Linked DNA regions of Xenopus tropicalis. The protein of the gene in region 1 purifies or fractionates together with the protein of each later gene. This does not show direct contact. Links are inferred from orthologs where the notes say so. Each region holds a gene or a part of one and is shown in the gene's direction. Other genes may lie near its edges.

Region 1 (4,656 bases):
ACAGGGGGACAGGTAGGAGGCAGACAGAGGGACAGGTAGGAGGCAGACAGAGGGACAGGTAGGAGGCAGACAGAGGGACAGGTAGGAGGCAGACAGAGGGACAGGTAGGAGGCAGACAGAGGGACAGGTAGGAGGCAGACAGAGGGACAGGTAGGAGGCAGACAGAGGGACAGGTAGGAGGCAGACAGAGTGACAGGTAGGAGGCAGACAGAGGGACAGGTAGGAGGCAGACAGAGTGACAGGTAGGAGGCAGACAGAGGGACAGGTATGAGGCAGACAGAGGGACAGGTAGGAGGCAGACAGAGGGACAGGTAGGAGGCAGACAGAGGGACAGGTAGGAGGCAGACAGAGGGACAGGTAGGAGGCAGACAGAGGGACAGGTAGGAGGCAGACAGTAATTAGAGACAAGCTTGCGGACGTTGCAACATGTACACTTTGTACCCAAACGTCACGAGCCAAAAGTGAGATTTAAGTAGCGGCTCGAGGGGGACTTGTCCAGCCCTAACAACCTGCACTGAAACCTCTCAGCCCGACTTCCCCTCCAACATCACAAGCCGGCCATTTAACCCCATTCATGCACAGTCAAGCTGAGCTGATAACTAAGGCCGATACCCTCTCCCCGGAGAGCTCACTCCATGCATCTACTACCTCTATGTTAGAAACAACATGAAACCCGAGTATGTATAATGTATTCTCCTTATACCTGCCAGGCCCTGCAAGCAGTTTATTCATTAGTAATCAATCTGCTCCCCACAGCTTGAACTACAGCTCCCAGCAACCCCTAACAGCCTTAGCCTACATCCTCTCCCACAGCTCAGCAGCAGCAATGCCATAAAGGTGTATCAGCCTGCCACTGGGAGTAATTATTATACCCAGGTACTTACATCTAAAGAGGTAGTTCACCTTTGAGTTAACTTTTAGTATGAGATAGAGAGTAATATTCTGAGATAATTTGCAGTTTGTCATTATTTTTTGTAGTTCTGTAATTATTTCACTTTTTGTTCAGCAGCTCTCCAGATTGGAATTTCAGCAGCTATCTGGTTGCTAGGGTCCAAATTACCTTAGCAACCAGCAGGATTGGACTGGGCCGACGGGACACCAGGAAAAAACCTGGTGGGCCGCAGGGAGGCAGCCGGCGGGAGTCCCTACTGGGGGTGTGGGGGCCCCTGGTGACCAGGCATTGGTTTCAATGAGAGACTGATATTTCTAAACAGAAAGAAAAGTAATTAAAAGTAACAATACCAATAAAATTGTAGCCTCACAGAGCCATAGTTTTTGTTGCGGGGGTCGGTGACCCCTGTTTGAAAGCTGGAAAGAGGCAGGAGAAGGGGAATAATTTAAAAATGATAAAAATAAATAATGAAGACCAATTGAAAAGTTGCTTAGAATTGGCCATACTGAAAAGCTAACCTCCCCTTTAATGTTACACTGATGGCTTTATGCCCCACTAAATGCATAGTGCACACTCTCACTCAGACTCACACTCTCACTCAGACTCACACTCACACTCAGACTCACACTCTCACTCACACTCTCACTCAGACTCACACATATGACTGACTGTGACATAAAAGAGGAGCTTTCAGTAACCCGAAGCCTTTGCGCAACACAATCCTTGGGGTTTTTTTTTTTTGTTAAAGCGACAGGCTGTCTAGACACCCACGTGATGGGCCGCGCCATTGCGCACAGGAGACTGACAGAGCCGAGAGAGCCGGGGAGAGAGAGAGACAGGCACAGACAGGGGAGGGGGAAGTGAGAGACAGTCAGGGAGAGAGGAGGGGCACTGACAGCAATGAGCAGGGTGAAGTCCCTTGGTAACTGGGTGCTGTGAGTGTGAGCTTTGTGGACACAGCACCCCCCCAGTAGAGTGTAGGTGCCCCAGTGAACCCCCATAGCCGGCCCTCGTTAGCGGAGGGATACCAGTCCTCTCCCCGCTGCCCCTCGCCGTGTCTCCGCTGTGCGGCCGGTCCCTCCTCCTCTCCCCCCCCCCTCTCCCCATCGCACATTTCCATAACACAGACGGGGGCGGATCAGCCCTTTGAGAAGGAGGAAAAGACAAGTCCCACTTTATTTTTTTCCCCTCTCTCCTACTGAGCGGCCGGATAAAGGATTTTTCTTGTGGATTAAACAAGCGAGAGGCGCAACCCAGGGCTTCTACTTCTTTACTGGAACCGCATCGCGTACGGATTATCTATAAGGTTCTGCCGCCCTAGTGCCCCTACTCTCTGCCCATTTGCCCCCCATACACAAGGGATATTATCGGCAGACCCGCTCGTTTGTGGATGTACGAGTTGTGGGGGGAGCCCGCTTTCCTACCGGGAGGATTGTGTATAAATGCCCTTTAGATCCCAGGCCAAGCCGGGCAGCGCTCTGTGCTCCATTCAATGCCCCGCTGCTCCCGGCTCGGCTGCCCAGCATTAGCCCGCTGTATGTGTAGCCGGGGCGGCTGCTTGCCGTTTGCAGTATTCCTGTCGCTGCGACTCGGATCCCCCCGCCGCACTTTGCAGGATCTCTTCCCCTAAAAGACTGGCGCATGTTCCAGATCGCTTTGGCTTGTCGGACCCCCAGCTCCCCCCTACCCTCCCGGGCTGCTGCTGCTGGTCTCTGCCCGGCCTCGGATCCAGGATTCTTCATGATTTGCGGGCGTCATGCACGTTGTTTAGCCGGGAAGCCTTGCTCTCGTCCCGCATGTTCAGGACCAAACGATCGGTGCTCGTCCGGCGACTCTGGAGGAGCCGAGCTCCCGGGGAGAGCGGGGAAGGGGAAGGCGGGGAGAGGGTTCATGGAGCCGGGGGTTGCTGCCTGGGCAAATCGGCGAATAAGGTGCCCGGGAAGGCGCTGGGGGGCTCGGAGGCTGCAGAACTGAAAGCCCTCGCCCACTCCGTGCTGAAGAAGCTGAAGGAGAAGCAGCTGGAGGGGCTGCTGCAGGCGGTGGAGTGTAAAGGGGGAGCCCGCAGCCCCTGCCTGTTGCTGCCGGCGGCCAAGCTGGACTCCAGGCTGGGGCAGCAGCCCTTCTCCCTGCCGCTGCTGCTCTGCAAGGTCTTCAGGTGGCCGGACCTCAGGCACTCGTCCGAGGTCAAACGACTTAGTTGCTGCGATTCCTATGGCAAGAACAACCCGGAGCTGGTCTGCTGCAACCCGCACCATCTCAGCAGGCTGTGCGAACTAGGTAGGTGCCCCCTGTACCCAGACTGGCACTCACACACAGGGCAGGGTGGGTTTGCTCTGACTGCCATCCAGACTGGCACATACACATGGCACGGTGGGTTTGCTCTGACTGCCATCCTGTCCTGCAGGGACTTTGACACCCAGACTGGCACACACACACATGGCAGGGTGGGTTTGCTCTGACTGCCACCCTGTCCTGCAGGGACTTTGACACCCAGACTGGCACACACACATGGCAGGGTGGATTTGCTCTGACTGCCACCCTGTCCTGCAGGGACATTGGCACCCACTGGGCACAGCTGGTGTGTGTAGTTGGCATCAGAGGGTCAGTCTGGCATTAGTATTTCAATGCAGCCACAGGCTTGGGGGTTCAATATTGTGATGGGTAATGGGGATACTGATTTACTGCCATTTGGCACAGTTATAATGGGGTATATGACTGGGCATATTTATCTCAGGGCACAACTATTCTTTTTCCATATTTATCCTTGGGTATAGCGGGAATGGCAAAGGGGGCATGGCTCTGGGTTTCATGGGTACAGCACATTGGATACATTGGTCGCTGTGGCTAATAGCAGGGCAGAGTAACTTGCCCCTTGGTATAACTGACAGTGTGGCTTGGGGATAGTGGGCACGGTGGGTGCTGTGGGGGTACAGTCTGCTGTGTAAGCTGGGAGGTGTCATTGTCACTATGTCATTCCGTTGTACTGTGTGAAAGGAATGGGGGGGGTCACACGGATTGTGGGGGTGCCTTGTGTCACTTTGCCAGGAAACCTTCATATACAAGATACACCCCATTATCATCCAGTCTCCAGTCCTATAGCAGGTCTGCTGGGCTAATATCAGTGGCAATAAAGGGGGGGGGGGGCTTATGTATTTCTGGGGGGGGGGTCTCGGCTCATGTCATTATTAGGTATTATTCCCTATGACAGTAGTGACAGTGCCAGGGGGCTGAGTAGTTACTACTGACATCTCATTCATCCCCCCATCAATGGATCGGGGCTGTCCCTCCCTTTATTGCACTTATACCCTAGTAATATATTGTTTTTCCCTTCATTTACCTTTTAAGCTTATTTCTGTTCTGCTTAATGTGTTTATTAATCATGCCCTCCCCCCTGTTTCCTATTTACCAGCCTACTTTTATTATTACACCCCTATTAAAGTTGGGGTGTAAAGCGTAAACCCCCTCTTTTTGCTTCAATGCCCCTTTCTCCGGCGGCAGTTTCAGCGCACTTTTATATACGGCTGTGCGTATAATGCGCGAATAGCGAAAAAGTCTTTTCCCCAACGTACAGTGAAGTACAGTAAGGAGATAAAATTGCAGTTGCATGGCTACTTTGTAATCCTTAGAAAAATAGGGCAGCAAGGGGAAGGGGGAGGGGGTGTAAAAAGGAAAAAAAAAAAGAGAGTCCCTTTCCCTTTATCTTTTTGCCTTTCTGTGAAATGCTAACTGCTCGGCGGAGCTACAGGGGGATTATGGGGGCAGGA
Region 2 (4,682 bases), on another chromosome or scaffold:
CACTGTGTATAGGGGGCTACTGTGATAGGGGGCTACTGTGATAGGGGGACACTGTGTATTGGGGGGCACTGTGTATTGGGGGGCTACTGTGTATAGGGGCACTGTGTATGGGGGGCTACTGTGTATGGGGCGGGCTGCTGTGTATGGGGTGGGCTACTGTGTATGGGGGGCTATTGTGTATGGGGGGCTACTGTGTATGGGGGTTACTGTGTATGGGCGGGCTACTGTGTATGGGGGGGCTGCTTTGTATGGGGGGGCTGCTGTGTATATGGGGCTACTGTGTATGGGGGTTACTGTGTATGGGGGGGCTACTGTGTATGGGCGGGCTGCTGTGTATGGGGGGGCTGCTGTGTATGGGGGGGCTACTGTGTATGGGGGGGCTACTGTGTATGGGGCGGGCTACTGTGTATGGGGCGGGCTACTGTGTATGGGGGGGCTACTGTGTATGGGGCGGGCTACTGTGTATGGGGCGGGCTACTGTGTATGGGGGGGAAAAACTGGTACTTAGTTATAACTCACTTATAACTGACTGCCTTCTCTCTATATTTGTATTTTAATGTAGGAGTTGCTGTATTGTTTTCCTTAGGTCGTTCAGTATGAGGGTATAGCACATTTGCGTCTGCTCCCGCCATTTGATCTATATAAAAGGGGTATTTTTTTAAAAATGGGGTGTGGTAATTGGGGCGTGACCACAAAAGGGGGCGTGGTCAAAAAAATTTGCCGCGCTGCGCGCGCCAAATCTTTTTGTCCCTCTTTTCATTTTTCAAATGTTGGGAGGTATGCCTTAGTGTGTTCATTAAATGTTTATCCTGTTCGGCCCGTCACCTAAAGTGTGTTTTGGATTTTGGCCCCCTGTGCAATTGAGTTTGACACCCCTGGCTTAGAGGGTCTTCACAAATTCTCAAGCAGAAAATGATGTTTGCCTGTCATTGAGGGTGATGCTACTGTTCTCATGCAGATTACACCGGCTTCAGAACATCCTTGCACTAATCTGTATTATTTACTCATCAACCTTATACTGTTACATTTATATCTTATATATACCGTATGCTGTGGGTGGGTCCCTGAAGTGACAGAAGCACAGAGCATGTGACCTGAGTCAGCAGAAAAGATGGGGCATTGATATTCCCTACTAATTGGCTGCAGTTGTCTTGGGCTGGTGCATAAGCTTAAAATATAATTTACAACATTTCTGCACTACTTAAGTTAAGCTTTAGTTGTCCTTTAAGTGCCAGGACTAGATATGTTCTATTGGTCCAACAGTACAAGTGTCATACCTGAGGTAAAGCTTACTATGGCTTACAAGCTTAAAAGATGTAATGCAAGGGTTCATAAACTAAAAGTCTGACTTTTAGGGGAACGCCTAAAAGTAAATTAGAGTTGCATTTGGGAAAAATATATATATACTCTTAGAAATATATCAGCGAGAGCTGACACCATCTCCTAGTGGTAAATATCCTGCGCACATCAGCGCTACCACACCACGTAAACAACAAGCGAGTCGCTGAGGAGGGAGGCGCTAGCAGCCCACGTGACTGTACCATCCGGGTTTTGCGGCGCAAGCATTCGACGTCACGTGACTCGGCGGCATCTTAGTGTCCAAAGGTAGCTACCTAACATGGCTTCCTTGGCCATTACGACTGATCCAAAGTGAGCTAAAGATTAGGAACCTCGACGAGTCCGGAGTGACTAACGTGCTCATGTCCAGGCTGAAGCAGGTATGTGCTGCGGGGCGGGCTCGCTACTGCAGTCGGGCTTCTCGGGCGGGCCTAGCGAGCTAGACGCTTCGTATTGAGGGAGGTATGATAACTGCTCAACATCGCATCTTTTACATTCATTTCCTGGAAGCCTTGGTTATTTATATATAATCAGGATTGTATTATATCTATATATATATGGATGGTTAATATAGGCTTGACACTAGTATTATTATCTTAATGAATGTGTTCGCAGGCTTCTTGCCACTTATGTACAGTATTTGTATTCATGGCCATTTGTTTTGGTTCTGTATGGTGAAATGTATTTGTACCTGATTAAAATGTAAACACAATTTCTCTCCATGAGCAGCTCGTATTAAGGGAATAACCATCATACATGAAGAGTGCTATTGATCTGGAATAGGTTCCCAGTTAGAAGAGACACAATCTCACAATTACATTTTCAACTTTAAGGGCAATAACCGATAAGGAATTTAGTTGTGCAGTTAAGTGATTTAACTTTTATATCTGCAATGATTCTCATTATCCACAAACGGAGGTAATTTGTAGGCATTTTGCCATCGCTGCAAACCATTGGGGACAAAATGCCACATCTGTCATTGTCCTTAAAGGGAATGTGTTCTTTGGATAATTTCTTGCACTTAAGCTACTTCCTGTTCCTGTGCTTCTTGTTTGGATCTTGTTTTGGATATTCATCAAGGGGCATTTAAAATGATAAATGTTGAGTTGGCAGTGCAGTTACATATCAAAACAAATCGTATCATTACTTTCATTTTGTAACTTATAGGTTCCTGTTCTAAGCTGTTTGGTTGTTACTGGCAGCTACACTTGTGCTGTTTAGTAACTGTATTTGTAAGTAAGCTCTCAGATATTTGAAAAGAAATACTTGCATTTGCATATCCTGGTTAGTTTCGAGTTCTTATTAAAGGACAAGGAAAGCCTGTTTTGCTGAGGTGTACCAAAATGTTAGGAACCCCCCGAGTTGATTAAATCACTAAGTTTTTATGCAGGCCATTGCTCCTTTTCGGTGGAAAATGTACCAGCCCATGGAAAAACTAAGGGGCCCATTCATTAAAGCACGAATTTTGGGTGGTGAAAAGCACGATTGGAAAAAATGTGGAGTAACCACAATAATTTCTGATGTTTGAAAATGTCAGTTTCTTTTCCCGGTCGTAAGAAAATATCGTGGTTGCGATCCGAAAGTCACAACATTTTTGGATCCAAACAATCGTAAATGGCGCGAAAACCTTTCTGGCTTTGAAACTTCAATGCATGATTTTGGAAGCCTTCCATAGGACTCAATGGCACTCTACAGATCCAACCTGGCCAAAAGATAGTCACTATACCAAAGCTTGAATGAATTCCGCAATGGTCGTAGTCTTTGCGAAAAATATGACTTTTTCATGGAAGTTAACGAAAAAGTATTGCAGTTTTAATGATATTATCGTGGTCATTATGAAAAGTTCTATAAATTAGAAAAAAAAAAAATTCTGAAAATAAAAATTTGTGCTTTCATAAATGGGCCCTTATGTGTTGGCCTAGTGTTTACTTACCTTGCAGTCATCGGCTCATTTTAGGCAGAGAGAAATACATCTGTTTGGAAATTAATAGTCTTGCCTTTACTAGTAATCTATAAAAAGAATATTAGTATTTATATTGCTATGCAACATGTGACATTTAAGATCTTTTCTCCAGGCCCTCAACTATGTCTAAATATTGGACAAAAAGCAGTTATACAAAAGCTTTGACATGTAGGTGAATAATGTTCTATAATTCATACAAATAGAGGAATGTGGTCATTTAAATAGCTTAAAGTGCCCCTGTCCCAGACCTTCAGCTTAAAGGAACAGTTCAGTGTAAAAATTCAACTGGGTTAAATGGATAAACTGCACAAAATAAAAAATATTTGCAATATAGTTAGGCAAAAAATGTAATCTATAAAGGCTGGAGTGGACAGATGTCAGCTCTCTAACCTCTTGGTTAGTCAGTGACTTTAGGGAAAGGGGGGGGGGGGGGGGGTTTGGCACTTGGGACATAACTGTTCAGTTAATTTGTGAGTATGCAGGTCGGATTAAAATGCAAACTAACTGAACAGTCATGTCCCACATCCCCCGCCCCCTTAAGTTACTGACTGCTAACAGCTTAGAAAGCTGTAAAGGAGGAAGTAGTGATCTGGCCATTATGTTGGACATCTGCCTGCTCCAGCCCTTATAGATTACATTTTTTGGCTAACTAACTTTATTTAAAACATTTTTTATTTTGCGCAGTCTATCTATTTTACCCAGTTTAATTTTTACACTGAACTGCTTTAAGGAGATATCCAGTTTAAATTTTACAAAGATAGACTGGCACCAAACTGGACCACAATCAAATATTGCTGCTTAATAATTTCATAAAAAGTTTCAACACCTTTTAACAGTGCTGGGGAGTTTTGTGCCTACATGGGGCACTTAGTCATAGGTTTAAACGTCTTTGTTTCAACTCGTATTACTTTTATATGAAAGAGGCAGCAATCGCATATATCTGTTACAGTATTTTTGAATTGTAGACACCAGCAGTTTCCCAACTCCTGAATTCCTCATTTATGATCCTTTGTATCTAAATTCTAGTGTGTTACTCTGTTAACCATCCTTATTCTCATAGACCACTTGCCCTTAGCTAAGAGTGTTGCTCAGCATATAGTTGATAAGTTCAGGAACATATTTCATATGCCTGCTAGTAGCATAGGGGCTTTTCGTTGCCTGCATGACATTTGGAAATGCAGTGAATGAAATGCTGTGCACAAGTATGGATGACTTCTGTGTTACTGTCTGATACCTGCAGCCATATGCCATATGTTGTCCCCAATATTGACTAACAGTTCTACTGTTTGAGCTGTTATGTGGTTAAGAAGTTCTGAAGGTGGCCATACACCTTACAATTATGATCTTTCCTGCAACCATTTGTCTCACCTGATTGACAAGA

The links. The genes of interacting proteins can lie anywhere in the genome.
Region 2: the proteins of smad7 (region 1) and rnf111 purify together in Homo sapiens (affinity purification with western blotting; 3 studies listed by BioGRID). This does not show direct contact. The link is inferred for Xenopus tropicalis from reciprocal best matches to the Homo sapiens genes SMAD7 and RNF111.

What each region holds. Positions count from the first base shown.
Region 1 is NC_030677.2:205,593,844-205,598,499, reverse strand, and holds the start of smad7 (mothers against decapentaplegic homolog 7), read left to right. Parts: upstream 1-1,625; 5' UTR 1,626-2,688; coding exon 2,689-3,169; intron 3,170-4,656. UniProt on the Homo sapiens protein: Antagonist of signaling by TGF-beta (transforming growth factor) type 1 receptor superfamily members; has been shown to inhibit TGF-beta (Transforming growth factor) and activin signaling by associating with their receptors thus preventing SMAD2 access.
Region 2 is NC_030679.2:99,170,540-99,175,221, forward strand, and holds the start of rnf111 (E3 ubiquitin-protein ligase arkadia), read left to right. Parts: upstream 1-1,555; 5' UTR 1,556-1,718; exon of another isoform or gene 1,719-1,800; intron 1,801-4,682. UniProt on the Homo sapiens protein: E3 ubiquitin-protein ligase. Required for mesoderm patterning during embryonic development. Acts as an enhancer of the transcriptional responses of the SMAD2/SMAD3 effectors, which are activated downstream of BMP.